Drosophila melanogaster: one gene and its partners. The protein of the gene in region 3 interacts with the protein of the main gene of each other region in a pairwise test. Each region holds a gene or a part of one and is shown on either strand. Other genes may lie near its edges. The genes, in order: CG15545, CG7991 and btd.

Evidence for each region.
Region 1: the proteins of btd (region 3) and CG15545 interact in a two-hybrid assay, tested with the Drosophila melanogaster proteins (one large-scale study listed by BioGRID).
Region 2: the proteins of btd (region 3) and CG7991 interact in a two-hybrid assay, tested with the Drosophila melanogaster proteins (one large-scale study listed by BioGRID).

The regions. Positions count from the first base shown.
Region 1 is NT_033777.3:30,867,449-30,877,219, forward strand, and holds CG15545 (uncharacterized protein), read right to left. Parts: upstream 4,904-9,771; 5' UTR 4,833-4,903; coding exon 4,815-4,832; intron 4,752-4,814; coding exon 4,506-4,751; intron 4,423-4,505; coding exon 3,610-4,422; 3' UTR 3,491-3,609; downstream 1-3,490. Other genes in the region: Cpr100A (cuticular protein 100A), read left to right, coding at 224-235, 459-706, 770-1,235; CG15546 (uncharacterized protein), read right to left, coding at 7,454-8,686.
Region 2 is NT_037436.4:1,670,588-1,681,291, reverse strand, and holds the start of CG7991 (uncharacterized protein), read right to left. Parts: upstream 6,584-10,704; 5' UTR 6,171-6,583; coding exon 6,125-6,170; intron 1-6,124. Other genes in the region: CG13930 (uncharacterized protein), read left to right, coding at 8,587-8,769, 8,832-10,273, 10,334-10,549, 10,604-10,704.
Region 3 is NC_004354.4:9,692,577-9,704,004, forward strand, and holds btd (buttonhead), read left to right. Parts: upstream 1-1,609; 5' UTR 1,610-2,097; coding exon 2,098-2,831; intron 2,832-3,270; coding exon 3,271-4,471; 3' UTR 4,472-4,982; downstream 4,983-11,428. UniProt on the Drosophila melanogaster protein: Required for the development of the antennal, intercalary and mandibular segments of the head.

The DNA of each region.
Region 1 (9,771 bases), on a different chromosome or scaffold from region 3:
AGGCGGAGTCGATCGGCGATCCAGCGATCCAAGGTTCCCGCTCGGACTATAAAAAGCTTGGGCGGCACCGTTGCGGAAGGCAGTTAACTCCACAAATCCGTTGCCGTCGGTCCCATTTCCCTCTTAACCGACTTGTAAGCGTAAAGGCGCGTGTGAATCCCCCTCGAGAAGAAGATAAAATTGTGTGCAGTTTACGCTTGACAAGGATATTCCCCACACCAAAATGTTCAGATTTGTGAGTTGTGTTTTATTCAAGGCTGTTCGAACAATTTAAAAGCTATTAAGAGAAAAGTAATCAAACTGACGGACAAAAGTGTCAATTCAAACCAGGATATTCTAGAGTACACATTAAATAGTGAAAGTCTTACCTTATAATACGTTAAGTGATAATGACTCAGATTAAGGAATTGGCAGCACACAAATACTTGATTGTACAATAAATTTTGAATTCTTGACAGCTTGCACTGACCACCTTGGTGGCCCTGGCTTCCAGCCAGCACTATCACCAGGATCCCAAAACGGCGGCCATCATCAGTGAGCAGCGTTATCTGTCCGGAGATGGAAAGTTCGGAGCTGCCTATGAGCAGGAGGATGGCATCAACTTCAAGGAGGAGACGGATGCGGATGGAACACGTCATGGCAGCTACAGCTATCTGGATCCCACGGGCCAGAGGCGTACTATTTCGTACACAGCTGGCAAAAATGGGTAAGCACTTTCTATAGAACAAATACCCGAACTTGTATTAATTTGGTTTTTATTCCGAAATAGTTTCCAAGCTTCTGGAGATCACTTGCCCCAGGCACCACCTGCTCCACCACAGCCCGTGCCCACAGCGGGATATCAGCCACAGCAGCAGTACCAGCCGCAGCAGTACCAGGCTCCCGCTCCCCAGCCGCAGGCCAGTTTCCGCAGCAATGACTACGGAGATGATGGTTCCTACGATCCCCGCTACAACGATCCCTCTTTCGGACAGAACCAGCAGAGCTACCAGCAGCCCGCTGCCCAGCCGCAGTACCGTCCTGCTCCCCAGCCCGCCTACAACCCACAGCCCGTGCAGCCGCAGCAGCAGTACCAGCCTCAGTATCAGCAGCCCCAACCCCAGTATCAGCAGCCGCAACCCCAGCAGGCGTACTACACCACCACCACCCCCAACCCACACCGCTTTTCGCCACCCGGCAAACTGTCCCTGAACCGCACGCCCGATGGCTTCACCTACTCCTTCAACAAGGTATAAGCCCCACTGTCCTCCACTCAGACATTATGCATCTTCTTCATTAGTAGGGATCCTCTTTCTTCTTTTCCAACTTTCCCTATCACAACTAGAACCCCTACTCTTTTCTTGACTCCATCAAACTCTCGTGTGATATGTTTAAGAGCAATTGTATCGTACTTCCTATATGCGTACTGTTTGTTATTAATTTATAATCCTACACAGAGAAAATTAATCGCTGCTGCCCAATGGGTATTGCTGATTTAAATTACAAAATATATTCAAAATATCATTTGCATATTTTTGAAATATGAAAAAACTCAAGAAATGTCGGCCTTTTTCTCTGTGACTTTCCCATTAAACTTTAATCTTTCCATTTAAGTCTTCCCAAGAAAAGAGAAGTCAATAAACTTCGATGATGTTGAAAAATGATCAAAATTAATTTAGAAACTATGTTAATTTGGGCCTTGGGACGTCTGAGCAATTTGTACTATAATCGAGTAAAAACAATATATGAAGGAAACCAAGTTCGTGTCCTGCAGTCTTTTGTTTTTCGGCCAGTGGCCGCTTATTTAATTTCCAGCAGATTTATCTAAACACCTCGGGTGGTGAACGCCCACTAAATGCGGCATTACACAACCGACTTTCGTACGTGCAAAACAAGTTTCGAGTTTCTGTTACGATTCTATGCGGCCAACAAGGAAAGACCTCAAACGGGTTTCGCTCATTTGACAGTAATCTTGGCCAATTGTGCAAAATTCCGATGAAAATGAAATCAGCCTGGTGTGCTGGTGCTGGCTAAGCCGGAAAACCATGTGCAAGTGGGGGTGGCACTGGTTCATTAGGGGATTGGGGCTCTAAATCAATTCCCAATGGTATTGCGATCCGTCAGGCTCCAGTTGCGTTAGTGCAACTTAATAACATCCAAATGTTTTGCATATTTTATGCACCATCGAACGCAAGAATGCCGCCAGCTAATTTGCTATTTCCTCTCACCTGCTGAGTTCTCAGCATATGTGTGTTATAGTTTACAACTTAATTCGAGCACCGATTGCTATTCTATTATTTAATTGCACTTATACCTATATATTTACTTCGGAAATAATAAATTAATTCAGGGCATGCTGAAATAATTGATTTCATTCAATATCTCTCAAAATCTATTCTAATTTGACTATATTTTATTCATGATTCCATTTTTACTTATTTTTTAAATATTTTTAGTGCTAGCATTTTATTGTTGTCTTTATTTTTAGCATTTTTCCCTCTGTACTTTCCACATCCATTGGTTGGCATTCCTTTTCACCACCGACAACGATTACATTAACAATATTAGCAACACTTTTCAGAGCTTAGCTTTCAAGGTCAGATTTGTTGTGGACTCGAGGGTCCGGCTTGGAGTTTGGATTTTTGCTTTGCCTGGCTTTGGGGTCTGGCTTCTGTTGAAACTGTTTAGTCAATTAAGAAAATCAATTCGGTTTTGTTTTTTGCTACTTATTGCTTTTTATGATTTCTTCTCCGCGTGCCTTTGTGCACCCACTTTTGCGGCAATCGCAATCGATTGAATTGGCTTGCTCAATTGCGGATTTTCGTTCGGATTTGCGAAAGAGGTAAGAGTCGAGAATTTGCCTGGGATCGAAACAGGTGTCTCATGGGTGTGTTGCTTCCAAAGTGTTCTTAATACGTCTATTTTTATGAACAACACACGTTTATGATTGACTGCGTTTATTTTTAAAAAGGTAAACGTCGCCAGAATTTGTCGTGAAATGTGGAACTCACTCCAATTATGGCGATGTGGGTGTGACGAATACAGAATCCAATTAAATTGATGAGTAATTAATATATTTAATTAAAGTGGCGTATTATAAACTTGAAAACATCATTAAATTGAAAGGTTATTTGCAATTGAGTTAAGTGATATAATCTTTTTTTTTTTAAGCAAATAAGCCAGCAACACTCCTTATCGGATTCACTTTGGTGACGAATTCTCCTCATGAAATGGTAGAAAAGCCGGGACACCATACATTTAGCTGAGACAAGAACCGAGACTCTATACTTCTTTCAAAAACCGATAGAGACCGCCACCGTTCTCTTGATAGATACAACAGAAAAGTATATTAAAACACTTTATAAAATATACAACTATTTATGCTTAACTGCTCCTAAGCGCCAAATAACTCGTATGTTAAAATTCGTAAATTATAAATTAAATGCATCAAAATATATCCATAATTTTCTTTCATATCAACACCAAACTTCCAAGATAAAGTCATTTAAATAGGGGCATTTAAAATAAATGGTCTTTTATTACTTAAAAATACTCTGTACAACAAGACTACTCTAAGTATTTATAAACGATATTTTAATTAACGATTAAGTCAGGACTTAGTAATCCCTCTCACACATTGATGACCAGTGCTGTGGATCGGTATTTCCTTTTCGGTTTGATGATGGTCTTGGGTGGTCGGTTAAGATCTCCACTTGGAGGACGCCGGCGTGATCGAGATCCCTTCGGCGGAGAAGATGGTGGGTGTTCGATGTACTTGTTGCGCAGGTGTCCGGGCCCCGAAAAGTTGGGCGGATAGGCCTCAAAATCCTCGATTTCGAGGTCTGGCCGCGATTCCCGCTCCTGTTCCTGCGCCTGGGCCTTGAAGAATTTTTGCAGCTTCGGATTGTTCAAAAGCTGAACTTTGATGGCCTCGTCGAGCAGCTTCTGCTGATCCTCTAGGTAGGCCTCTACTTGTTTCTTGGAGGCGACGCTTTTGTAGCGATCGTGGCTTTTTGGTCGGGGCACTGGAACCACCTCGTAGTCATCGTGTTCGGGCTCATAAACACTATATGAGTTGCTGCTGGAGGCGACGGTTGCCTTTGGAGGTGGCACTAGATGGAAGGGATCGGCTTCCGATTCGTATTGCACTGGGGTCCACTTCGATCTTTTCGGAGGAGGTCCAACATCCTCTCCAGATCCAATATGAACATCGGATCCATAACCGGAGGGCTTGTGGATATCGGATCCATAACCAGATGCCTTGTATGGAATGGCCGTCACATATTTTGGCTGCTTCTGGTAGCCGGAACTGGACTTCTTGGGCACGGTTATGGGATGCTGGACGCGAATTTGGGTGCCAATCGTGTATTCCCGACTATCCTGAACGGAGGACTCTCCTGAATATTCCGCGGAATTGTAGCGTTGTTCGTCCTCTTCCTCTTGCTATATTTTAGGGGAATATTGTATTATTTCGGGCTTTTAGATCTTTCCTATTATTTGATATCTTATTTGTTAGGCCAACTTACCGATCCGTAGGGTCTGTAGTGGCTCTTCTTGGGATACTTTTTGCTCAGTGGCCGGTGCTTGCTCTCATTTGTTTGCAGATCGGCACGGAAGTAACTAGCGGGTCCTATTCTCACTGGTCCTGGCAGAGAGCTGGGTGCGTGCCCAGATCCTGAACCCACTGCACTGAAGTAGCTCCTCCGATAGTAGGATCGTGGGGGTCTCAGCCCCGAGGTGACCGTCACTAACAGCACCGCCGCAGCAAAGAACTAAGGAGATAGTATCCATTTCATGTTAATTGTGAATCTACGATTGCGGATGCAACAGCTTACATTCCAGCACACTTTCATTTTGGGTGGCGGCTTTTTCGGGGTGATTGCGTCTTGTGAAAACTCTCTTCAATGGTATTAACCACCAGCGTGGCCCCAACGAAACTGAAAGTTCGGCCAACGGACGCAACAGTTTTATGCTAGCTTCCTCGAACCTGCTGCAACATGTTTCGCAATGGCAATCGCAATTGAAACCTGCCAGGTGAGCAGCTAGTCAGTAGCAGATCGAAATCTCCGCTTCACGCATGGACTTACTACTCACAACAACATGGAGTAAAAAAAAAGAGTTTACCGCGCGCAAAGTGAGGCATTATTTGCATTTCCACTAGGAAATAGAGCGCCAACTTATCGGATGGGGCAGGGGGCATAAATAAAATGTTTCTTTATGGCCGTAATTACACATAACGATGGCCATTTACTTCTTCGAAGTTGTAACTGTGGAGGGGGCTTAGGTTGTGGTATGTGACTTAATAGGAAAGTAAGCAAATTAGATATGCAAAATGTACGACAATATAGTTAATAGGCAAAGATTGATGGCTTTTTTGAGTAGCGTAATTTGACCTCAAACTTGTTAATATACAGCTAACTAAAAGGAATGCCTTTATTCGATAGTAACAAACTTACAATTGCTAATTAATAATCATAACAATCATAATCGAAAATGGTAATATATCTACGTTCCATTAAATATTTAACTATTACAATCGCTCACTTTACACCAACAATTTTTTAATGTGTATGACGTCGACCGGCACGAGCCACCCACCCACTAAAAAGCAGAAGAACCACCTATCCTATCGACTTTTTTAAATCAGTCTTGCGGCAAACGGGTTTCCACGAGTATTACCCAATAAACGCTGCACTTTTCTTCTCTCCGCATTTGGCCCGAAGTTCAGGTTCAGTCGGGGCCAAGTCGAGCCAGGAAATGTTAGCCAGCTGGCGCTGCTTTTTGGCCCCTTTCGCCTTTTTTGCCGGCACGCTTGGACTACTTTCTATCGGCCAGGATGCGCGATCGAAATGCGGAAGATGTATGCCGTATGGACGTACATGAGCGGAGGTTGAGCAGTTTGTCTTGTCCCGGAGTTGGTGGAAGTGGATGTGGATGTGGAAATGGAAATGGACGAAGAAATGGTTTGAGAAATGGCAGTGGATATGGACAGGGAGTTGCGTAACATTTCACCACGCTTCATTTGCACAATTATTTTGCACGCTTATCCTGTCTCTGGATTTTGAATTGGGTTCCCATGGCAGCTGCAGATTGTCGGCAATTAAAGCGATGCCTTAATTAAATTCCCGGCTAATGCCGCCTTGATTGCAGCCCCGTGGCATATGTTGGATAATTGCCGCACTTGTTGCAATTTGCTGGCTGGACAATGGGTGGTTGGATTCCACACCCCGTTCCAAGACAAGGTCAAGCTCAAGTTCAACACGCGTGACAATTGGTTGCAACGCCGCATAATGCCCCGTTTCCTTGTGAAACCGCTCGGAAACCCCACCAGTCGCGATTTAAACTGGCACTTGGACTTCAACTTGACTGCAAGCTTGGTTGGATTTCCGCTGGCTCCTAACAATGCCACCTCAATGGCTCTTTCTTTCTGAAAGTTTTGTGAAAGGAGCTAGGGGCAGGGACCTGCGAATGCCCCAGCCCCAGCCCCAAAATGGGCTGGCCAGGTGAGCTGCCCAGAGCAACGGACTTGATTGCCAGACTAGCAAATTGTTGGGAATTTCAAATGAGTCGATAAAGAAAAGCCGCGCGAAAGGGTGCCTCGAATTACATTACGGTCTATGAATTACATACTAGATCGATTCATAATATTGCCAAACAGATTACAGGCCCATCAGTGAGCTTGAGGTATGAATAAGTTTCTATTCACACAATGCACACAATGAATAGCTGCGTTGTATTCATGGCAAGCCTTTCCAAGTTCAATGTGCGCCTGCTTTCGATTACCTCGATATAAATATATAACAACTTGAACTTCACTCTCTTTCATTATTAGTTTGAAAACTGAATACCAAACGAATTGATTAAGTGCCCATGTATATTTTTCTGTGCCTATAGTAGGTTTTTAAGGCTTAATTGAATATTTCCCGATTCGAAATTTATTTGGTTATATATGTATTAGTTTATTAGCATATCTCTATCATTATAATTATAGATTTTTCTGCGTTGGCTTTAAAAGCTAAATTAATACATGATCGTGGTGCACAACAACAGCATCGCCGACAAATTAGTCAAGATCAAGGTTTGTTTATGTATGTATATTCAACCGCTCGAAAACAACAAAAAAGCCGACTCATTCATTCGCATGTGGGTGAATTCAGAGTTTGTATGGGATCGTAAAAGTAAAAACTAAAAAAAGGTTGAGCTGCTGCTGTCGCATCAACTTGCTGCTGATGTGGCTGTTGTGCTGCAGATGTTGTTGCTGCTTCTGTTGCAGTCGCTGTTGGCTTTCAATTAGCAATGCAGATTGTTGCTGTCGACTTACTACATAGAGAAATATTTGTAATACTATTTCATCCTAATGATTGTCAAGCAGATATTCTTGTATGATCTTCTTCATCGCTTCAGTTATATGTTTTTGCACTTGCATTTCTCACTGTGTAGCTGCACTAATCACTGAACACGCGAACTGGAGCCCTCAGTCCGGCAGACCCACGCTCACTCTCTGCCCCGCTGAGCTGCGACGCGCCTGCGCAGTGGGCGGCGACTGCGACGCCGTACCGCCCACCATCAAAGCGTCGCCGCTGAAGCAGAGGCTGCTGCGCAGGTGTTTGCGAGGGTCAGAGGGCACGGGGGGATCTTCGTCGATAGTGTGTGTGTTACCCACTCCGGATTGGGTCTGTGGCATTTTTGGAAAGATTTTCCTACCATTGCCGTTGGCCTGATAATTATTATTATTATTTAATGGCTTGCTCCGACTAGTTTCCATAAAAGAGCGTTGATGTTGCTGCTGCTGCTGCTGCTGGCGACTTCCTGTCGGCATATTTGGCTGCTGACGGTAGCGAGTTTCGTAGGTGGGCTCCTCACGATCCTCGCGATCCTCCCGATCATCGCGATCCACCCGATCATCGTAGTAGGCGTACTCGGCAGCCTCCTCGTTGTAGGTCACATGCTTTTTGGGCAGTCCGGGACTTCGGGTTAGTTGCAATCTTCGGACTCGACTTTCCAGATGGTCGTACGGGTCCTGATCCTGTGACGTTTGCTTCAGTATCCTTTTGGGCAGGGGCAGTGGGCGTGGCCGCCGCCACTCGGGACTGTCGTTCAGGGGTTTCTTGGTGACCTTGGGCTCCAGTTCCACGCTGAAACTGCGCACATTTCTTTTGACCTGCAGCTTGGGACTGTTCTTGGAATTCAGTTCCACTTCGCGCTTGTCATTCAAGTCCATTTGTGGTCTCCTGGCGTTATTTTGAGTTAGGTTATCTGCTTCGTTTACATAATCGTAGAACTGGATCTTGGAGCTGTAAGCCTGCTGGCGACGGCTGCTGGTGTCCTCAGCTTTGTTATCCGATTCCTGCGGTCTCACTTCGGTTAGTTTTGGGGTTATTTCTCTGCGTAGACCCCTTGCCAATGAAGGTTTATTTCCAGGATTAGACTGCAGATTATCATAGAACTGTATGGAAGAACTGGCAAACTCCTTGTGAAACATTCGCCGTGTGTCCACTTCGTCGGATACATTCTGATTGGAAGTAATCCTTTCCACAGGCCTCTCCAGCTGCTGGCTGTTTCTCCTCTTTGCTCGGGTTTCCACCGCGGAATCCGCTCGGGAATCGTCTGGCCAGAAGAAGTGCGACTCCTGGCGATTGCACACCTTCACCGCCTGGCGCTCCACCATTTTGGGCGGCAAGCCCGTGTAGAATTTTCCGTTCAGCATGGTCGCCCAATCTTCGCCGGATTGGTGGTCCACTCGACTGATCGGAGACTGGTCCGCAAACCGACTGACACAAAAAGAATCCGTCGGAGGCCGGAGAGCACATAAAATGGCTGAGATGTTGGCGTCGCCATCGGCGTTGTCATTTGTCGTAGGCGTTCAGTTTCGTTTGCTCAGGTGATCAACCAGGCCCCAGACTAATTTGCGATTCTTGCGAAAAATAACTCGAGAAGTGAGTAAAAACGAGAGTTTCTGTGTTTATAAACTTTTGGATACTCTACGAATTGGAAATATACAGCATTTAATTATATTTCCATATTCGATTTCTTCGAAAGCAAACAGTGCGCTGCATTCACTGCAGGCAGTTTGGAAAATGACACACTTGTTGGTTTTGGTTTTTAGCCTCTCGCAAGATTTTTGAAAATACATTATACCCTTTTGCAAATTCTTCGAGTGACTTATTAACAACAAACACAAACAGCATCGAGGCAAAAATTTATTTGCTGCCAGTGCAGCGTGGACGTTGGCAGCGAAGTCGACGGCGCAGCGGCAGAGACGAGTTTCCATCTAAGGTCAAACCAAATCGCGGCATTTTTCACTTTTGGAACGAAAAGTTGATTTTCGTGAGCTCAGCGTTGACCAAATGTTTTGGTTTTTACTTCGCTTTTGGCCTGTCCGTTCGGACTAAAAAGCCAGAATGCCGCCAAAGTTGGCCGACCAAGAATAATAAACGACAACAGATGCCAATTATTGGGTGCTTTAATGGCTTCAACTTCAACGTACTTTTGGCCGCAAGTGAGTGTCACTTGAATGATGCTCAGTATGGCCGACACTGCGTATACGTAACATTACATGGCTGAAAGTTGAGAGGAGCTCAATACTCTGACACAATGTCGTGAACAATGCACTTTGAAAAGGAAAAGCGAAACACCAGTAAAACATACCAGTGTTTATTTAATTAAATTAAATTTATTTTCTCTTGATCTTTACATGGTTTGCCATTGGAATGGAGTGGGGAGATGTGTGGGGAGCTTTGCTGATGGACACTACTACTGCTACTTATGTTTTGCTTCCATTAATTCATTTTA
Region 2 (10,704 bases), on a different chromosome or scaffold from region 3:
TCAACTTTGGCTGCTGAATGGCGAATAGAAAGGGACGGGGCGAGCGGGGCGAAAGAGAAAGGGCATTGGCCCAGAGCTGCACACTGAAACGGGTCTCAAATATTTGTTTGATTGGGTTTAGTTGCAGTTGGCAAATACATATGAAATGTGCACTGTGTACCCACACACTCATATGTACACTGGGGGAAAAATGGTGTAATTATAAGCCCTAAAAACGGTTGAAAATTCAGTGTTTTCACATCACAACATCACAAATTTTGGCTCAAAATTGGAGTGTCATACCTTAAAATGCTCGTAAAAACATTTGCAATTGATTGGCAATCAAAATTGGAAAATTTTAAATTTGACCAATTTTTGCAAAAAATGATGATGTAACCCCTTACCGAAAATGCGAAAATTGGCAAAAAATTTTTTTTTAGTTATCGAAAAAAAAATGATGACCATAGTTAGTATAGCTCATTAGTTGTAAAGAACAGTGATTATTTTGTTAGTGTGACACTTTTTGGCCATGTTATGACAAAATGTTGAAAAAAAAAGTCTTTTCTGCATTCTTTCTTTATTTTGTCCATACCAATGAAACTACTATTCCTGGTATGTCATATCTCGTTCAACTCGTAATTAAATTTCCGACCGACTGGCATTTACACATAAAAAGTCTAATATTTAGCCGTTATTCACAAAAAAAAAAATATAAAAAATGAAAAATTCGAAAAAAAAAATTAACTGTCCCAAAAAGTGATATGAACCGATAGCATGGTAGGCAGCTGTAAAAATCAATTAAACTTATTCTTATCTTATTTATGGAAAATTGACTTCTCGAGCATTATATTTCGATGCATTCGTTACCACTCTTTTCTCGCAGTGCAAATCCTTGCTAGCAGCAACTTCTGTTCGGCTTGCTAGTCAGCATTGAATTATGGAATATTTATCTAATGTGCATCAATCGGAATTCCAAGCAGCCAACGAATGAAGCTTGAAAACCAGAATGGCAGCTCATGGCCAATGGAGTTGAATTGCTGGGCAAAAGAGCATGCCAAGGATATTATGATTCTGTAAGACATGGCCGAGTGAGCCCCTCGTAGCTTTAAGCCCAATGCAGGGCTTCCTGCAGGACTTCCTTTCCTTTCCTCGTTCCTTTTCCATTTCTGCTTCGGCTTCATGCAAATCACAATTTGTGGAATTTCATAACTTGTTGGCAATTTGCAGGCAGTTTCGGTAGGCAGCCCCAGAAAATGACATTAAATCTCCGCAGTTGGGCGCACACCTGCACCGAACAGGAAACAATCGACTCCTGCTCCTGGTAGTCAATTTATGTCCCATCCCCGAGAGACACCGAGTAGCCGACCTGGTGCCAAACGGCACTTAAGCGAAGTACACGAGCCGAGAAGTCTATATCATGGCTGGTATCCGTATCCGTATCTCTGGAATACTCGCATGTGTGTGGCCCAAAATCAATATCGACTCAATTGCCTGATTTTTTAAGGCTTCCAAGAGCAAGCCACTCCTCCGAGTAAACCTGTCACTTTGTCAATTAAATTATAAAAATTACCAACTGACAGTGATGCTTACTTATGCTTATGAATATAAAACACCTAATGAATAAGATATAGTACGTCGTCATAGCCAAAGTTGTGAACATGTAGATTTAAAGATACCTTAAACCCATTTAATAGTCTTCCTAACGTACAAGTTTACCTTTGTTCTTGTTCAAAATGCAGTCCAGCTTAACTAGTGGCTCTTTTTTAGTCATTACTGCGCGACAACACTGACAGAAAACTTGCTGGCCCAGACGGAGGCGGGGATTCCCATTCCGGTGACTCGAGGGGCAGAGCAACTTCAGCACGTGCTGTCAGCAGAAAGACAGGCGGAGGGACCAGCCAGAAGCAGACGGGTATAGGGAGCTGGAGTGGGAATGGGAATGGGTCTGCCAAGGGGACGCAGTCTCTCTTTCTGCTGGGCTTCCCATCCTGGACTACCTTCACCTTGGCTGCAATTAGTTCTGGTAACATAATCTTCACTTACAACTTTATATGACACTAAATCAGTGCAAAGTGGGTCTGAAATCGGGAAATGGTGATGGTGATGGAGTGCGGCGAAGGGCAGTGGTATCGGTTCGCATGTGGGCGTTTCCCTTGGGCTTTACAAGCCCCCAATTATGGGCTCACACACGAAATTCAACGCTTTCGGAGCCGAATTTAATTAGTTCCATTTAAAAGACAAGACCGCGCCGAATGCGAGTGCTCAGCGAGCGTTCTTTCCGCATATTTGCACGCCAGTCGATAATCATCGCTGGAAATTCGGTCAGAGGTTGGCCCACCCCCTCCAAAGTTGCCGACTCTTCATCTGCATGCGAATCCACATGATGTACAAGGCTATATAGTACATACATACATATATATAGATGCACTGGCGGGTCAAGGAGAAGATGGGGCGTGATCCGCTGCACGCACACTGCCCATTTCATTTTCACTCTGCCCAGCAGGAAGATAACAGATTGGCCACCAGACGGAATGGCGAATGGCGAACGACGAATGGGATTGGATTCCAGTTCCAGGTGACTGCCAGACGATTACGTGATCCCCGAATGCCCATGCCCATACATGCCACTCATGCCCCCTTATTTTTTGTGGGGCACAATGGATGCTTGTAAACATATGTAAAGAAAAAGCTATCATGCACTTGCATCCCAAATGTCGCATCATAAAATCCGAATAAATTATTGCAAGGATTGTGGGCACAAGCAAAAAAGATGTTATCCGCTGAATCGAGCGTATCTGAGAATCTTACTCATCTGCGGATTGAACATATCTCAACGTACATCTTGTAAAATGTGAATGTTGCACGTGAGGCGGAGTAGCTCAAATTTAATGAAACATATCTAGCAGATACTCAGATACTTCCCCACATTTAAGCTATCTTTTAACACCCCGCTGGTAGCCGTGAAATTTGGTAAATTCCCCACAATAGATGTTCCCAGTGCCGACCATTTCCTGCAGTCATTAGCGATTGGAAATGGCTGAGGAAGTTCCACTCCCGCCTCGAGTGCAAGTGAAATCCGATGAAGTGCATCCCCGGACGCGACGCTGGGCAGTGGAGCGAGGAGTGGAGGCAACGCCTCATGCCGAGCGCTTAACTTTTCGACATGTTTCACATGTGATGAAGATTAAGTAGAAAATAATTACAAGCTGCGTCCGAAGCGAAGCTAAAGCCAAAGTTGAGCTGAGCTGAGCTGGGCTGAGCCCAAAAGCTGTGTGTGCGATCGCGATCATATCGGATACACTGGGATTGGGATTGGTACTGGGATATCGGGATAGCTTTGTGATCGCTGCGCGGCCGGCGGTAATTACATAAACAGCGATGTCAGTGCGGTGACAGGACGGCGTCATCATCGCAGCCCAGGGAGCCCAGTGAATCTGGAGCTCGGCAACTGCGACTCGCAGTCGATCATCAATCGTGCGAACTTTCCAGGGGACCGCCCCCTCGGAACGCGGATATCACTGCGGTGGGGGCATCGCCGCCACGACCTGTTCCCAGATCCTCGCAGCCAGTGCTCGATGCTCGATGGCCAGAGAAAGAAACCAAACGGCCAGCCGAAAATAAAAGGGCCAAATCAGCGTGTAAGATGCCGGGGCCATAAATTTTAAAGTAATTTTCTCCTGGCCCCGAGTAATTTATGGGAAAATATTAAGCTGCCCCAAATACTCCACATCCAGATCCAAATCCAGATCCCAACTAGCGCAGACAACCTAAATTCGACCCCAAAAAACTAGCCAAATAGAGTAATTAAATCGGTGGCTGACCAGCTTCAATCCACTAGTCCTTGCTGGTCGAGGATCATTCCAGCTCATTCCCGATTCCCAGCTGAACCGGCTGAGTTATGGGCACCCCATCCTCCTGCACTTTGGGTCACGATTATCTGCATACGCAGCCGGCAATAATAATCTCAAAATTGGCGCACTTAAGCGAGGATCCTCGGCAGGCGTAATTTGAAAGTTATTTTGTTGCCGGTGCGGTGAAATTATTGAGCAATATGCTGATCTGTAAAATCATAAATAAAAATATTTGTACTTGACCGCAGCGGAGCCAGGGTTTTGCCCTGGAATGAGGATGGGAATGGGATTGGGAATGGGAATGGGCATCCACCTTCGCTCCATCTTCATCTCATCTCCTTCCACCCGGACGACTTTTATGTTATGTTATGAGGTGAGATCTTGGATCCCGGACGCGGGCTCCGGATGGCGAGTCTGCGCCCGCGGCTTAACGATTGATAAAGTCTTTTTATTTACAAGCTGATAATGATGGTGTAGGTGCAGCTTTTGGCATTGCGACGGTTTTCATGTAATTTATGAGCAATTTGCAGACAATTTTCGAGGTCCGAGCTCGTGGAATGCGCGGAAAGTGTAGGACTGACCCAAAGATGTGGGCTAAGTGGGTCTCAAAGGGGGACGCAGTCCGGTCAAGTGAAAGATCTACAAACGGAATTTATGGGAATTAAGCCACTTGCAAATGGAGTGCCCCAAATAGAGCTCGACTAAACTCGGTGAGAAACTCTCAATTGGAACTTATGTTTCTACACTTCTTACACAGTATATCTGTGGGTTTTGATTTATGGTAATTTAAATTGTTCCACCTTGCTCATCGTCTTAGGTTTCAGATAATTCTCCAGACACTGTTTACCATTCCAATCCCATCCAGCACGCTTCCACCGAAAGCCGAAAACTATTTTGTAATATTGATAACCATCTCGGCGGTGGGGAATGGAGCTCGGTCAGGCCATTAAAATGTCACAACAAAACGCCGAACTCATTTTTCGATGCGGCACTGGGCCACAAGCGACCATTAAACCTGCAACTTGATGGGCAGCTTCTATAAAAACAGAAGACTCCGGGCACGAACTAAGCGAACCAAATAGCCAGAAGTGTCAACTGCGGTATGGTAGAGCCAAGAACTCTGGGTAAGCCGATTATGGGCCACGACTTTCGGGAACGGAACGCACATAAAATAAATGTCGCTGGCAGAGATGTCCGATCTCCGGAATCGTGTTAGGCGTGCTCCGCGGCTCAGGAGGCGGGGCTACCCACTACTGGGACTACTGCTTTCATGTGGCGGTGGTGTGGATGTCACCTACTCCTACTCCTGCTCCTCCTCGTTCTGCCTGCGTTGTTATTGCTTGTGTCGCTGCTGATGATTGTCATTAACATCACATTACCACAAGTCAAAGTCATGTTTTTGATCCCAAATAAACCCCGAGAGCTCAGAACTGAGATACAGCGAATGAGACACATAGTCGGCACTTGGTTGGAAAGTTATGGAGCAGATGGGATGGGATGGGAGAAGACGAAGAGTAACCACAGGAATGTGGGGAAAAGGGACAGTTTTCAATGCGATGCTCGATAGCAGTTGGCCACCTTGTTGGCCATCGGGACAAATCTGTTATGACACCTGACTGCGGGCCATGGGTTTTCAAAGGAAGGAGAGGGATTCAAGTGGGGGATTAGGGTACAATGTGTTGACCACACTATAATCATATTGGTTAGTAAACCCATTCTTCCCAAGCCCCTTAAGACCATCAAATCTTTATCCGACTGATCGTGAATGTGTCAAATCTTTCCACTTCCATCCCAAGTGTTTACGCTTGAAACCAAACCTAGTGAGATATTATCTTCTACACGGCGATCTGCATAATTATGCTAAACACATTAAATCCATTCATAAATCTCTGGGCAATCGTCATCCACAAAGGGAACACCTCGGCGAGAATTTCGATGGCCAGATATGAGCTATTATTCATGTCCCGCGTGGCTCGCGCTCCCATTTGTATTTGTCCAAGTCTTTTGTGGGTGATGAAGCCCAGCGGGGTGAATTTACGATCTTGGCCAGGGAAGCACTGAAATAAAATCAATAAACCAGTCGCTGGGCACAGCCAGAAATAATGCTTAAGATGCAAATTATGCAGATGAGTCGAGGCCAAAATATTCGAGCTTGTCACTGGACCGAAAATCGAAATTCACCTGCCCGGCGAAATCATATTTCTTGTTGCCCAATCGTTGGAGGCGTGGTCCCGTCCCCCGTCCCCCATTACCACCATTCCCACAAACTTGGCCATATAGAAACGGGGACTTACTCGAAGAGCTGCTCGATCGCTGAAGACGCCTCTTCCAAAACAACATTGTGTTCCTCCTCTTTTGGCGCTGATAAGATCGTCTGCTGATTGGTTTCGTTATTTCGTTATGTGATCACTGGCTATGCGGGTGTGGGTCTATGGCGAAATGATCCCTCTCGCGGAGCAACACAGCTGATTAGCATAAACTTCGAATCACTCAGGAACCGAGCTCTCCCGAATTGTATCTTTCAGATACAGCCACGGCTGAATGGCAACTGCACTTGCCCAACGCGCACAACAAATTGAGACATTAGCAGCCGGCCAGCGAGGAAAGTTATGACCCGAGCTATGTGGAGTGGTTTCAATTCGTTTTTTCCCTCAGGTGTCTCAGGTGTCAACTGGAGGCGAGGTGTGCTCAATTAGCCGCCCGATTTCAGCACTTCCGTTAAGCCGAGCAACTCGGACTTCTGGCCCGCTCGACGGTTAATTAACGAATAAAAAGTCGCTCCGCTGCCTCGAAAAAAAACCTCCGAGCTCGACTTGAGCTCGCTCTGCCGCCAGCTCTTCTCGTCTGGCGCGCTGGCTCGCTGGCTCGCTGGTCTTCCGCGCTCCCTGCCACAATGGAAACGAACTGAAAATGTGTTACACCGAAACGCCGGGCGGCGCAGTCGACGCTCCGAAAGGGGCAGTCGTCGCACATTGGGGCCAGTGGGGACATAAAACAGGTGTAAGAAGCCCAGACGATCTGAATGCGAGCGACATATGGCTAATAGCCAGCCCATGGGCTGGATCGAGATGGAGATGGCGCGTTTTATGGGTTTCCAGGGTGCGGACACAATTAGATGTTCGTAAAAAGTGGCGTTTTATTTCACTTTTCAAAACAGGGTCCACTCCGCAGACTCGTTTCTTGCGGGCTGGCGACAAAATTATTAATTATCTCACAAACACTGGACAAACATGGCTAACAACTGGCTGGAGTTAAAAGGTAGTTACATCAGTGGTATCAGCTTGCTTACAAGCTGGGTTAGTCCATTAAAAAGCTATCACAGAACTGAGTCTTAAACTTAAAGTGTAATTTTAAAATATTATTAATATTTTTCAACACCTCAAAGATGTAATTCAGTGTGGCGCTGACTGCGCAGTCGCCGCCGGCGTCGCAGTTGGCGTCGCGTTGGTGGCGGTTCACTGAATTTCGCTGACTGTAGGTGGTTGTTGCTGCCCCCAAAATGTGTAACAGCAACAACAAGAGTCTGGCCAAATCGGCCAACAACAACGATCGTTGGCTCGTGCAGAGTTCAAAATGCACGCAACCTGCAAGACAGGCGACTATTGTTTATAGCCCGCTTGGATTTGTTTTTTTTTTTTTGCTCTTAACTCTTTCTTTTCGCTGGCTGCCTGCACATTTATTACTTAACGCTTTGATGCGTTGACGGTTTGATGGTTTGTTCTTCTTGGCCATCAGTTGCCCGCTTGCCGTGTGCCCCTCCGTTTGACATAGTGCACTTGGCCATATTCGCTCGGTTTGGGCCCCCTCATCATCATCGTCATCGTCGTCGTCGTCGTCGTCGTCCTCATAATCAGCCCTCTTTTTTGCTATATGTTCATCAAGCGAATCAGCGTAGCGAAGCATAAAGCCAAATTAACATAAACAACTTCTTTTCGACTTCCATATCTTCTATACACGGAAAATCGCTTTGATTATTACAAGCTATCTTCAAATTAAGATTGTCATATTTATAGTTTGGGATTCATGTTGAAATAATTTCTCTGTAGATACATTTCTTTGCTGTGAGCACTTAACCTAATCATATTTCATTCTTAACCCGATCTTATTTTCGTTCAGTGTGCTGCACGGCTTGCTGCTCTCAATCGCCCACATGGCCAAGTGCTCCTCCTCATCCCATCTTTTGCCCATTTCCTATGCGGCTATGTGGCGGAATTAAAGACCTTTTTACCATATACCATCTAACTATTTTCCGTCTGCTATTCTTCTACTGTCTAATTGGAATATGAATACGAATTTCATTTGTTGGTAGTTTGTAGTTTGTATTTTGTAGTTTATAGTTTGTTTTGCTTTTCTCCGGTTGGGGGATTTTTCTTGTGACAGGTCAGAAAGCCGCGCAAATTATTGGAATCACTAAAGGTAATGATCCAAATTGATGTTAGACTATGGTGGCTTCATCTTCATTGCACAACTGGAACTACATTCATATTTAAATATACGTTTTTGCTTACCAACCCACTTATTATGCACTTTTGTTGCGCGATTTAAATGTGAGTTATAAATATTTATGGACGCAATGAGTGCAGTCATGTGTGAGCCTGCTAATGGAATTCCGTGTTGCAATCGGAGTGCAACTACAGCACTTGGTAGTTATGGCACCCATATATTGTATCCACCATTGTTGCGTTGCCATGTCTGCACACGCAGTAAACAAGTTGGGAAATCGGCGGCACGCGCTCATTCAAATTAATTGAGAAGGATGTCGCGACCTTTGAGGAAGGATTACCGCACCGCGGACTTCGAGCAACTGAGCAGGATGATTAGGGACCATCCGCTGATGAAGGAGCCCGGAGCGGAGCAGCAGCAACTCCATAAGCTCCGTACGCCGGAGTACCGAACGAAGTGCGTGATGAGAGCTTCCTTGGATGACATTGCCTTGGGGGTGAGTGCCTATCATCCTTAATGTCCAAAGAAATCAAGCCATACAGTATGTTTATTCGCCAGATCAATCTTTACAAGCTGCAGCTGGACACGCCCATGTCGCCCACTCTGGAGGAACCGAATTATCTGAAGGAGCCTGCTTCCTCCGCCCGCTCCGCCCACTCCGCCCGTCCTCCAGCCACGCCCTTCATCAAGGTGCTGCTCCGAAAGACTCCCATCGTGGTGCTATTCGAACGGCGCAGCATGACCGCCTTGGCGGACACGGAGGAGGGTCGCCAGGTGATGGAGGACAACCGGAAGTACGACGAACTGCTCTCGGGAACGGACAAAACGCGGAGAACCGTCGATGCGGACACCCAAACCATGACGGCGCTGATGAAGTCCAGGCTGGTGAACACCGAGCGGCTGACCACCGCCCAGATGGGTTCCTATGTGTCCAACTTCGAGATGTACGACACGTACACCGACCTGGAGAAGTCCACCACGAGTGTCCAGGTGCAGGGCGCGAAGAAGATGGAGATAACCACCTACCACGTGGGCGGGGTGGATCAGTTCGTGGGGATCAACTGCCTGCCCGGCTTTCGACTGGCCCTCATGCTGACCATGCGCATCTTGGCCAGCAATGTCTTCGAGCCGCAGCAACGGAGGTACAGGAACATGGCTCCTCCAGATCCCTTGGCCGAGGACGTCAAGTTCAAGTACCGACTGGGCCTGCTGTGGCGACTGAGCCCCCCCTCGTCGGATCCCAAGGTTCATCAAGCGGTGAGCGACATGAGCTTCTGTCCCAGCAATGGGGACATCATGGCGGTGGCCTACGGGGTGTACAGCCACGGCAAGGTCAGCAAGTTACCCAGATCCGGCTGGGTCTACGTGTGGAACATCAAGAACCCTGTGAATCCGGAACGACGCTACCACTACCAAGTGCCTGTGGTCACCGTGGAGTTTTCACCCACCCAACCGCAACTGCTGGCCATTGGACTGCACAACGGAGGTGTGGAGGTTAGGGATATTTCTGGACAGGATCTGCCACCACTAGCTGTATCGCAGCGTTTGTCCTCGCCATACTTCGAGCCAGTAACGGCCATTAAATGGATCTACTTCGAGGGCGATGTTGGGTGCAGGAACCCGCACATCACGCCCTTCTTGGCCACTTCGCAGGCTGGGGCGGTGACCAAGTACCGGCTGATCAATAGTCCCAATATGCTGGGACTCGAGCAGCAGCGTTTGCAGCGGGCGGAGGGCGAGCTAGAGGGGATTCCCATCGAGCGACAGCCTCCGGCGGCTTCCCTCCTGGCCAACAGGCATCCGCAGTGTCTGGAGATTGTGCTCGATCCTGTCCAGTCGGACATATACTACGTGCTGACCGACGAGGGTACCCTGTACAAGTGCTCCACGAACTACCCGCTGCAGCACTTGGAACTAAGGCAGGTGCACGATGGACCCGCCGCCTGCATGGAGTTCTCGCCCTGGTCACCAAGGATGTACCTCACTTGCGGCAGCGACTGGTGAGATCAACTGCGATTTTGTTCCGGGTTTCTCTATCCTCACTCATGCGTCCCCATCAGGTGCATTCGTATCTGGCTGGCTGGAATCCTGTTGCCCATCGTGACCCTTCAGCATCACCTGTCCCCGGTGCACTGCGCCCGCTGGAGCCGCACTCACTCCACCATCCTGGTCTCGCTCAGTCGCAGCACCGTGGACATCTGGGACCTGCGCAATAGCACCATGAAGCCGGTGTCCTCCACGGTGATAGACGCCGACATCTTCTACACCACCTTCAAGTGAGTTCAGAGTCTTCTCCTTGAATGATCCTATCGCATCTCCTCGCCTTCCAGATTCACCCACTGCGGCCGTTCGCTGGCCGTGGGAAACGAGGCGGGCAACCTGTTGATGTTGTCCTTCGAGGACATGCCATTCCCGCCGCACTTTCAGTACA
Region 3 (11,428 bases):
ATGATATTCATCTTAACAATGGGTAGCTTAAGAGTCGAGATGCACTTCCGTGAGCTTGTTCCGTTTTGGGAGTCATCATTATCTTTTCACAGCAGCAGCAAGTCGTAAAATTTGTGGCTCAGACCCACGTTGCGTATGCGTAATAAAAAAGACGCCGCGTAATAAAAAGGGAGCGAAAACAACAACAGCAACAGCAATTGTGATTAATATGCGGCACACAAGCATACACAAACGCACGCACACACGAAACGGGCGCAGGCCATGCGAGAGAGAGAGAGCGAAGGAGAGAGCTGCTGTCTCTTTTGTGGTGGTGTTTGGTCAACGCCCCTTTAAATACAGTTATTTCATTGGGCCGCGACCACAAATTTATTAGTTTTTATTGTTATTGTATTGATATTTGAATTATGCACGCTCCCTCTTCGTCTTCTAACGTTACTTTTTATCATTGGGATCCTCTGGAGAAAAATGCCATTAAACAGAAATTTTAATTTAATTAAAGTGATGAGCCATACTTCTTTCTCTCTGTCTGCTTACTTTCATCGAAACAAATTGATGGTCTGAGTGGGCAAGGGGATAATGAGAATTTAAGCAGATATTCGTGCTTTTAATGACGGTACTTGAAATGTGTAAAATGTCGAGTAATTTATGGGCATTAAAAATCGGTCGGATATATGTAACAATACCTATATTTTGTGTGTACTTAAGGTTTATATGAGAAATTTAAATGTTTAAAATTGAAAATAAAAACTAAATTTGTAGTTAGAAACTATCTCTAAGTTAGCAGACTTAAAAAAAATTAATACAATTTTTCTAAAATATTTGCTAAGCTCTTTATTTTGAATTGCAAAGGATACGTGAATACGTTATTTATTTTATACACATTTTGAGGGGTTGATAGGGTTAAAATAAACATAAATTATGGAATATATAGATTAACCAACTAAATAATAAAATATTTCAAATACTTCACTAATCAAATATTTCAAATACTTCACTAAAAATGCTAATAATGTAAATTATTTACACATATTCTTAAATACAAACTTTGCATTAAATTTAAGCCAACATTTTTGGCTTAAAGTTTAGATATAACCAACAATAACAACAAATATAAGCATTTTGAGCACTAGCTGAAACGACAACAACAACAGCAACAACAAAACGCATGCTCACCCAATTGCTTTGACACACAAACCCACACATAGAAATTAAAACAAAACGCCCGCGGCAGCAGCGCCAGCAATAACAACACTGCAACAGCAACGTGGAGAGAGAGCACCATACCGCAAGAGCGAAAGAGAGAGAGAGAGTGAGCTAGCTACGGAGAGTGGCTGCTGCTGCCGGGAGTGACACTTCCGCGCCACACGTGCAAGCGAGACGAAGCGAGTTGCCCCGAAGGCACACCGTTGCGGCCAAAAACAACCACCATGATGGTGCCGAGAGCGAGAGAGAGCGAGAGCTGGCTCAGCGCTCAGTGGCGATAGACGAGTGCGAGAATGTGACAGCACGAGCAGCAGCAGCGCTGCCGCTGCCCTCTGCCCGCGCCTCTGCCCGCAGCCAAGTGGATTCGTTTTGTACGTTGTTAGACTCTCTCGCCGCGTTTTGGAATTCAGTCGACAATCGACGATAATTACCGGTGGTTGTATCACATCACATCACGCGCAGCAGCAGCAGCACTACGAACGAAAGAAGAAGAAGCAGAAGAGCCAGCCGCAGTGGCAGCAGAGAAACTCGCTCGTTTTCGGATCTATATATATATATATGCATATAGATTTGTATATATAGAGGGATATATATATATATATATTTGCACGCAGCATTGGCGAATTTTCGGCCGCCTTTAATTTGTTTGTGTTTTTTCCGTGTTCTCCTCCGCGTGCTCGCAATTACGTGCGCGGCAGCAAAAGACTATAATTATAAAACTAAAGTGAAAAGCGTGCCATAATTACACGAGCGAATATCAATAAGTGCAAGAGCAATGTGCGAAAATTGTTAACGAACGCAGTAGCAACCAGAAGCAGTAAAACGCAGCAGCAATCGCAGCAGTAGGATCCAAACAAATCTCAGCGCAACATTAAAATCGCAAGCGTTTTCAACATGATCGATGCGGCCTGCAATTACTTAAATCCCTATGCGCAACAGCATCAGGCGCAGCAGCAGCAACATGCGCAACATCAGCAACACGCGCAACAACAGCAACATCATCTGCACATGCAGCAGGCGCAACATCATCTGCACTTGTCGCATCAGCAGGCGCAACAGCAGCATATGCAACACTTGACACAGCAACAGCAGCAGCAGCAACAACAACAGCAGCAACAGCAGCAGCAACAGCAGCAACAACAACAGCCGCAACAGCAGCAACATGACTTCCTCAGCGCCGCCGCCCTGCTGTCCGCCCCACCATCCCTATCCGGCTCGAGTTCCGGCTCCAGCTCCGGCAGTTCTCCGCTATATGGAAAGCCGCCAATGAAGCTGGAACTGCCGTATCCACAGGCCTCATCCACGGGCACCGCATCGCCCAACTCCAGCATACAATCGGCGCCATCATCGGCCTCCGTGTCGCCCAGCATCTTCCCATCACCTGCCCAGTCATTCGCCTCCATTTCGGCTAGTCCATCCACGCCCACCACGACCTTGGCGCCACCAACAACGGCGGCAGCGGGCGCCCTAGCGGGATCACCCACATCCTCCTCACCATCCTCGTCAGCAGCATCGGCTGCAGCGGCGGCAGCAGCAGCTGCGGCGGCAGCAGCGGACCTTGGAGCAGCGGCGGTCGCCAGTGCCGCCTACGGCTGGAATACCGCCTACTCCGGATTGGGGCCAGCGAGGTAAATATCCCTATATATAGGATTTACAGAAGTTGAGTTGGGAATCATTCGTAAGAAAGAAACTTTAAAATGCTAGTGATCAATAAATCAAAGCTTATAGATCATCAAATTTGTGGTTATTAGGGATACACTAATTTCGATCTGAATTAGATCTCCTTTTAATAGAATAACTACAGGCTGATTGTATTTCGATCATGAGCGAGATAAAGACATATATCTTTTGCAAATTATACAGTTTAATACATAGGAATATATTAATCAAATTATCCCGAAGATTGAAATGGATTAGCATACAAATAATCTCATAAACTTATAAAATGATAGGTACCACTTGAATACATTACAATTTAGTATTCCGATAGCAGGTGTACCCATTAAGTAAATGATTAAAAAAAACCAAATTAACCATTCTCTGTCTTCATTTCTTTTCTCCATCTAGAAGTCAGTTTCCATATGCCCAGTACGCCTCCGATTATTACGGCAATGCGGTGGGCATGTCCTCCTCGGCCGCTTGGTTCTCGCATCAGGAGCGCCTCTATCAGCCATGGAGTTCACAGAGCTATCCGGGCTTCAATTTCGACGACATCGCCTTCCAGACGCAATTGCAACGCCGCTCCGTTCGCTGCACGTGTCCCAATTGCACCAACGAGATGAGCGGCCTGCCACCGATTGTGGGTCCGGATGAGCGCGGACGCAAGCAGCATATCTGCCACATTCCGGGCTGCGAACGGCTATACGGTAAGGCGTCGCATCTGAAGACCCACCTGCGCTGGCACACCGGCGAGCGGCCCTTCCTGTGCCTCACGTGCGGCAAGCGTTTCTCCCGATCGGATGAGCTGCAGCGGCACGGACGTACGCACACCAATTACCGCCCGTATGCCTGCCCCATTTGCTCCAAGAAGTTTTCGCGCAGCGATCACCTCAGCAAGCACAAGAAGACCCATTTCAAGGACAAGAAGAGCAAGAAGGTATTGGCCGCCGAGGCCAAGGAGCAGGCGGCTGCGGCGATAAAGCTGGAAAAGAAGGAGAAGAAGTCGGGTAAGCCACTGACGCCACCCGTGGAATTCAAGCAGGAGCAGCCGGATACGACACCGCTGGTCAACTATGCGCCCTATGCCAATCTCTATCAGCATTCCACATCCGCCGGATCGAGTGTGAATCCTCCGCCGCCACCGCCGCCGCTCTTCCAGCAGCAGATGACGACGACAACATCATCGGCGGCGGCCAGCTTTGTGGAGCAGCCGTGGAGCAGTAGCAGCAGCCGTGCCATACAACCAGCCACTACCTCAGCCAGTTCATCCTCATCCTCCAGCGCCAGTTCCCCAGCGGCAGCGGTCGTTTCTGCCATTGGATCTGCATCTTCCCCAGCCGCATCAGCCACGGCGCTGGCCCAGCATCATTATGCCGCACTTGCCATGCAAAGTGAGTCCCAGCTGGCGGCGGAATATGGGCTAACCATGAGCGGATTGGCCAGCGGAGCTAGCCAGGATTCCAGCTCCAGTTGCCACATGAAGTCCGAGTATGCGGCCAGTTATCCGGCTGATTTTGGTGCGGGAACAGCCAGTTACGGTTATCCGCATCCACATCCGCACCATCACAATGCGTGGGCAGCGGCCTATCATCCACATGCCACCGCCTAGGATGTCCCCGATCCTTCCCAAAATTGTTACAGTTGAAAGTTGATGAAACAAATGCCATAATGTCCCAAAACCCAGAACGGCAACAAAGCAAGCGTAGAACGAAAATCTAGTGTGTGTTTTTTTTTCAGTGTTTATTGTTGATATAAAAATATAATGTGAAAATCAAAAAAAAATTTGAATTCACAAAATACCGTATAAGGCATTATATAATATTATATAAATATATATATATATATATACATACACATATATTAACTATACATGTAGAGACTAGAACTTGAATTTTTTTCATTTTTTTTCCCCCAATCTAGTAGCTAAGGCATTTTTTTTTGCATGTCTGTACATACAAACATATATAGCGTTCTTTTTAAGCCATACCATATAGAATGAGAGAAACCATCTAGTTGTGTACCATAATAATTGTTAATTGTCTTTAAGATAAATTATATACAACAACAAAAAGTGAAAAATCCAAGGCGACAAAATCCCCACACTGAAATGAAATCCTAACAATAAAAAAAAAAAACGAACAAAATAATATCGGAAAACAAAGCGAATCCAGTTTTTTATTATTCTCTCCGATCCCGACGCACCCTTGTTAATGGGTTCCTGGCTTGGTTAGATTTCAGGGTTGTTTGATCTCCGCCAGGGGTTGCTTTCTTGCATATAAATCGAGGGATCCAGGAAGCTTCCCGACTTCCGGCGAACTTGATCTGCTTTTGGGTGCTGACCTTTGGCGGTATTTGGATAATAATAGAAACTTTTTCAATAGCAATCATTATAGCTGTCTGCATTTCTAGTTATAATTTCATCAACGTCGGCCATCGCTTTAAAATTGCAAAAACATTGTTAGCTTGGGAGATGTACATCATTTATAGATTGCTTTACTTTAAAATGTGCATAAATAAAGGTACGAATGTGATATGTATATATCCTTAAATACAATGATTTATTTAGTCAAGATACACATAGTTGTAGAATTTCATAACAATCGGATGTGATTTAATAGTAGTTTTTCTCACTAAAAGCGGCTTACCACTTTTAGATCTCTTCAAGATTCCAGATCCCCGGTCCTTTTCCTAGCTGCGAAATTAATTTAATCCCATTTCCCGCAGCTCAGCATCTATACCCCACACCCACCCCCCTTACTTCAACTGGGGATCATAACTCACAAGGGGCACATATTCAATCTTTAGGCAACCAATGAGAGTCAATTTAGCTCGAGCGACTATCCCACTTTGGCCAGCCCAAAATGAATTGCCCAACACAGAGTTTATAATTAAACGGGAAACATTTTGTCCCAGCAGAATAAGGGGGGAGGGGGGTAAAAAAAACTAATAATAAAAATACAATGATGGCGTGAAGATTGGCAATCGAATCGCCGGAGAAAAAGAGAGAGAGAAGAGTTCGATCCAATTCGATCCGCCGTCAAGCGATGCGAGAGATAGCGATGCAGATCGATTGCGGCCAATATAAAATATTGATTTATGCTGCCCAGCCCGGGCATCAATCAATTTTCAAGTTGAGTGAGCGCCAAGCCCCCGAACGTGCCACGCCCACTTGCAAGTCTTGGACTCAACCAAAGTCATCACCATCTTTGGATGCCCGATGCAATGGTGCAAGAAGCGGTTGACAACCTCGCTTGCTTTCGGATTGGTAGAGCCGTAGTAATATGAAACCAAAAATGGAGAAAGAAACTTTTCTATGGAAGAAGGAGGCGGAGAAGGAGGAGGAGGAGGAGGAGGAGGAGGAGGGTGTGATGGGGCAGCCCGACAACTTCACACGCACGTTAATCATACGCCGCGTTGGCCGCGTTAAGACCCCAAACGCCGAACGTCGAACGCCAAACCTCAAGCACCCAAAAACCCTTTTTGCCCCACCCTCAACCACCACCTTGATTTTTTTTTTGTTCGGGGCGCTCCACTAAATGGCAAACAAAATCTGATTGATTTATAACTGAAGTCTGCGGTCAGCCAGGGAAAATAAAACATAACCAAAAAAGGGAAAAGTCCAGAAAAAAAAAAGAAGAGTACAACAAGAAATACAAAATATAAAATCTCGCAGCTTAATGATGATAAATGATGATGTTATGATTTGTTAATTTTTCTTCGCGTCTCTTCGTTTCTGTTTTTTTTTTTTGCCCCACACCCCCTAACCCATCCCCCCCCGCCCCCGCCACCGCATCAATATTTTGTTTTATTGCGTAGAGGAGTTAACTCGAACATGAGGTATAAGTCTTTACTGTTTTGGTCGGTTTAATGGCTCGAAAAGTGCTCTCGACCAACTCTTGTGAGGGGCGAAAGTGTAATTTTAAGTATGGGTTACAGAATTGCTGGAAATGTTAGTTGTTTAGGGCCTATTTAAATGATTTTGCCTCTTAGATTTTCTTTTTTTTTTTGTCTAATGCACGAAATCGCCAGAACTTAAACCTATATAATGTGAGATTAATTGGTAGTCTATGCAATTTAGTTCAATTCATTTAAACAGTTAGTAATAATAATAAAATGTTGTTGAAAGTTTCAAAGCAATCCAATTAAACAGATACAACATATGAGTTCTTATAATGATATTTTTAAATACAGTAATTAATAAAGTTTCTTTCGAAATTTCATAGATCTTCTAAGCCGAATATTGTTTGTCCAACAACCTGTTAAAAAAACACAAATTAAACAAATTATGAAATCACATCACAAAATGAAGTCATAACCCGATATTGCGACATGACTAACCACTTGGGGCAGCGACAGAAAATTAGATCAGCAGCCGAGAAGTTCCCAGAATTTGTGGCTAGCTGACACCACACCTATGGCCACTTAAAAAAAATAAAAATTTATAAGATATATATACGAAATACCGATGGCAAACCGAAAGTGTTGTCACACATACTCGACTCAAGTAACTGGGACTTCTGGGCACGCTCCTCAAGGATCACAGATTCTCAAGTGGCGCTGTCGAAGTTTTTTTTTTTTTTTGGGGTAACCAGATATCGTTCTAATTTTAATCGGAGCTATAAATAATATCGGCCCGCTTTGGCCACTTGACTCGCCTTGCTGGGCTTGACATTTCCACAGAATCGTTGTTTTGATGTTCGGCGCTCGCAGGAGGCGCAGGAGCGATCCTTGTGCTCCTCACTTGTTTTCATCCTTCGAGAGGACAGCAAATTGAGTTGAGATTATCTCACTGCCTGCGCTAAGCAAGCGTGTCCAAAAAGAAAAGGTCCTGCGGTCGAGATGATCGAACATGACTTAACTAGAAAATGTTTTATGTTTCATCGGCACTTGGTATTTATTAGTTTCTACTTTTCACTTTTCACATTTTCCCCTATTATACACTCTGTTTTTTTTTCGGGTTTCTTTTTTTTTGGGGGAGGGGCGTTGGCGGTGGGCGTGCTTGACATGGTCATCGGTGATTATAAATTTCGGTTATGTCCTGCGGTCGAAACCACCGACGAGTTTTCCCTGTGCGTGTGTGTGCGTGTGGGTTCTATTGCCTTTTGTCTTTTGGCCCAAGATCGTTTCGTTGCGGCATATGGCCCGGTATTTTGGCTCGATGCGGGTGCAGATCTCGGCAGGAATACAAATACAAGTTTTCAGTGGCTGGGGGCTAAGATGACATGTGTTTAAAGGATAATCGCGCTACAAGATCGCAATCCCGATTGCCAAAAGGTACAAGATAAACAGCTCAGCGATGGATTGCCATCAGCTGGCTATTATAATACAAAAACGGATGTCTTCATTTATGCCACCTATTATGAGCGCTGATTGAGCAAAAAATATTTGTTAAATTATATCAAATTTCAAGTTAATGCATACGAGTATATAGATTGTTTTTAATACGCTTATTCGTAAATATATGAACTCCGAATTGAGACAGGTACTACATACATACATATGTGCAGGTTTGCCACATTTGAATATCAATTAATTACCACCCATCAAGTACCTGATGAGCAGCGTTGAATTCAATCGATGAACTGCTATCAAAGGAGTCCTTTGTCGATTTTGGCACGTGACCCAATCACTGTCGCTCACATCAGACCGTGACAATCGTTAAGGATATGTGAAGGATTGGGGATTCGGTACGATACGATACGATTCAATTCGATTCGATTCGTTTCGATTCGACAACCAAAGTGGCCAAAAGGGATAAGGACCTCAACGCTGGCCATCGAAGGACAACTCAATCGGGCCAACGGCATCTGCGGCATACAAATTAAAATATTTATGTGTGTGCATTAGGCGAGGGCAAACATTAAGGGCACAACAACAACAACAACAACTGGATGTGTGGCAGGAGCCAATGGAAAAAGTGCGACATATGTGCAGTCAATAAATTTTCCACTTTTCATGCTGACAGCACAGAAAAAAAAAAAAAAATATATATACGAAAAGGAAAACCGGGACAGGGGCGCTCGAGCACCGCTAATGGCTCCACAATGACCAGGCGCATTTAATTCACAGTTGCACAAAAGAAAAAATGAAGTAAAGGACTCCAATAGAAAAGGACTCGACTAAATTGCTCCTTTTCTGCTGCATTTAATTTGATTTTATTGTTCGCGCTTCGCCTATTTGTTTGTGTCAAAGAATGTTTCTTTCGGTTTGCTACGGTTTATCGATATGGGGCACGCCCACTGCCCCACACCACACAACGCCCCCATTTCCGCCCACACACACACACACAGACGCACACCAACTAATACGCGTGTGTGTTTTGTTTTCCGTTTCCTGGTGCGCATAGAAAAAAAATTAAAGGAAAAGTGGAAAATCTATTAAAATGCATTTAAATGTCTGCACCGTGTAGCGCCTTCCCCCCACCGCCAAACCTGTCACGCCCACACTCGAGTCCAGAAGGGGAGTTGTCTATGCATATACACACACACACACACTCATTTATATGTGTATGAATGCCGCATTATGACCACGAAAAAGCGTTGCGAATTGATTAAGTTTTTCCCATTTCCCTCTTTACCAAATTTCCCCTTTGGAGGGCATAAATCGATTTGCTGCGCCTGCTTTTCGGTGTGATTTCCGTTTATACAGGGTATCAAAAGCAGCAGGGATATGGGCGTCATTAGCCGGATAACTCCTAAATAGACTTCTGATTTTGTGCCTAGTAGCTTTTTAATAAATAATAAATAAAAAAGAACGTTAAAATCAGATAAAATACAACTTGGACTCTTTGTATTTTTTAAATCATTTATTTACAATAGAACGATTTGTTAATTTTTCCAGTAATATTTCACATATTTCTTTATACAATTTTCCTCGATATAGTATTAGTTTTTCTTTTTTTTTTTTGACTTGTGGATCTGGCTCTGACGTGTGTGGCAACAATTACGAATATATATTGTAATATCCCTACTCCCCTTGGCACCTCCTGCAAACCAGATTCGGTTGACATGTGTGGGACAGTTCCAAGTTACCGTCGCTCCACCGGTTTGAGTGAGTGTTTTTGCAATTATTATAAATCAAGAATTTGATTTATGCCATGTAACAAACTTCAGCAACGAATGCGAACTATTCGAGATTATTTACGACCGCAAAACACTTACAAAGTGTGTGGCCCATGAAGTCCGGTTCGGTTTTGTTCTGGCCTGGGGTCTGGGATCTGGGATCTGGGATTTGGAACCCAGAGTTTCACCTCAGATCTCCTACCGACATAACAACAATGTGTGAAATACAAAATACAAAAAAAAAACACCAAACGCCGATGCCGAACAATGGATTTCTAGTGGGCAATTTCTATTATTTATAGCACACAATAAACAAGGTCTGTATATAAATATAGAAATTCGCTCAACCCGGTCTCGAATAAGGGCTTAAAAATCTAGTGTATTTAATTTAAATTAGCTTGTCCAATAATTTTACTAATTTACGAGATGGAGCGACGCTAAAAAGTAGCCTTTCCTTAATTAAACCCCTTTCTGCGTTTTACTAAATTTTCCCATGAATATTTGTAAAATTTGTTGTTTAGGATATTTACATTTATTTGTTGTTAGCCCTATAGTTGCATAAGCTTTTGTAGCCTTGGACAATTGCTTGTTACGCTCATATTGCAAAATTTAAACTTTTACCATTTTTAAATTATTAACCACTTGATTGCTCTCTACTTTCAACTAATGAACCCAATGATGAGCTCACGAAAAAATGCTCCACCCCATTTAAAACTGAAAACAAAAATCTGGCTTGGGTTTTTCCACCCCCAACATACAATATACTACATATGTATATTGTATTTTGTATAGTGTATGTAAGTATGTATGTACATATGTAGCTGGCTCTCGAAGTACTTATGCTACCCATCCCAGATTTCTGTTTGCCACTCGAAATCGACACTTGAACAACCGGCTACAACGACCACAAAAGAGCTGACTGAGTAAACAACAAAAAATTTGCATAAGCTTTTTTATATGCGCTTGCCGCAACAAAAAAGAAAAAAAAAACAGCTAAAAAAAAAACGTCAAGAGGCAGTGGAAAACATGGCCAGCGGAAGCGGAAATGGAAATGGATGCCGCGCGGTCAGTAGTGGTAGAGTGTTCGATAAGCTCGGGAAACGGCAATCAGGATTCAGAAATCAGGAATCCGGGCATCGGGCATCCAAGAACTTCGAACTTGGCGCCAATAGCCGGGTCCGGCCGTCCAACGGTCCACCAACAACAATGGGCCAAAAAGAGAGCTACGCTATGCGAAGGCATAAATCACGGAAAAACGGACAAACGGACAAACGGACAGACGGACGGACAGGCGGACAAACATTCCCGTTGAAGCAGCGTGTTTGCATTTTTTATGAACTTGTCGAACAGCAACACAATCATGTACTCCGCGATATACATAAAAAATGCATAAAAATGTGAATCGCAACGGCAAACAATTGGCAAACAATGGGGAAATCGGATAAGGACCAGTATACATCATCGAGCTTCGCCGCTTCGCTGGGTCCGCAGAGTTTTCCAACTTT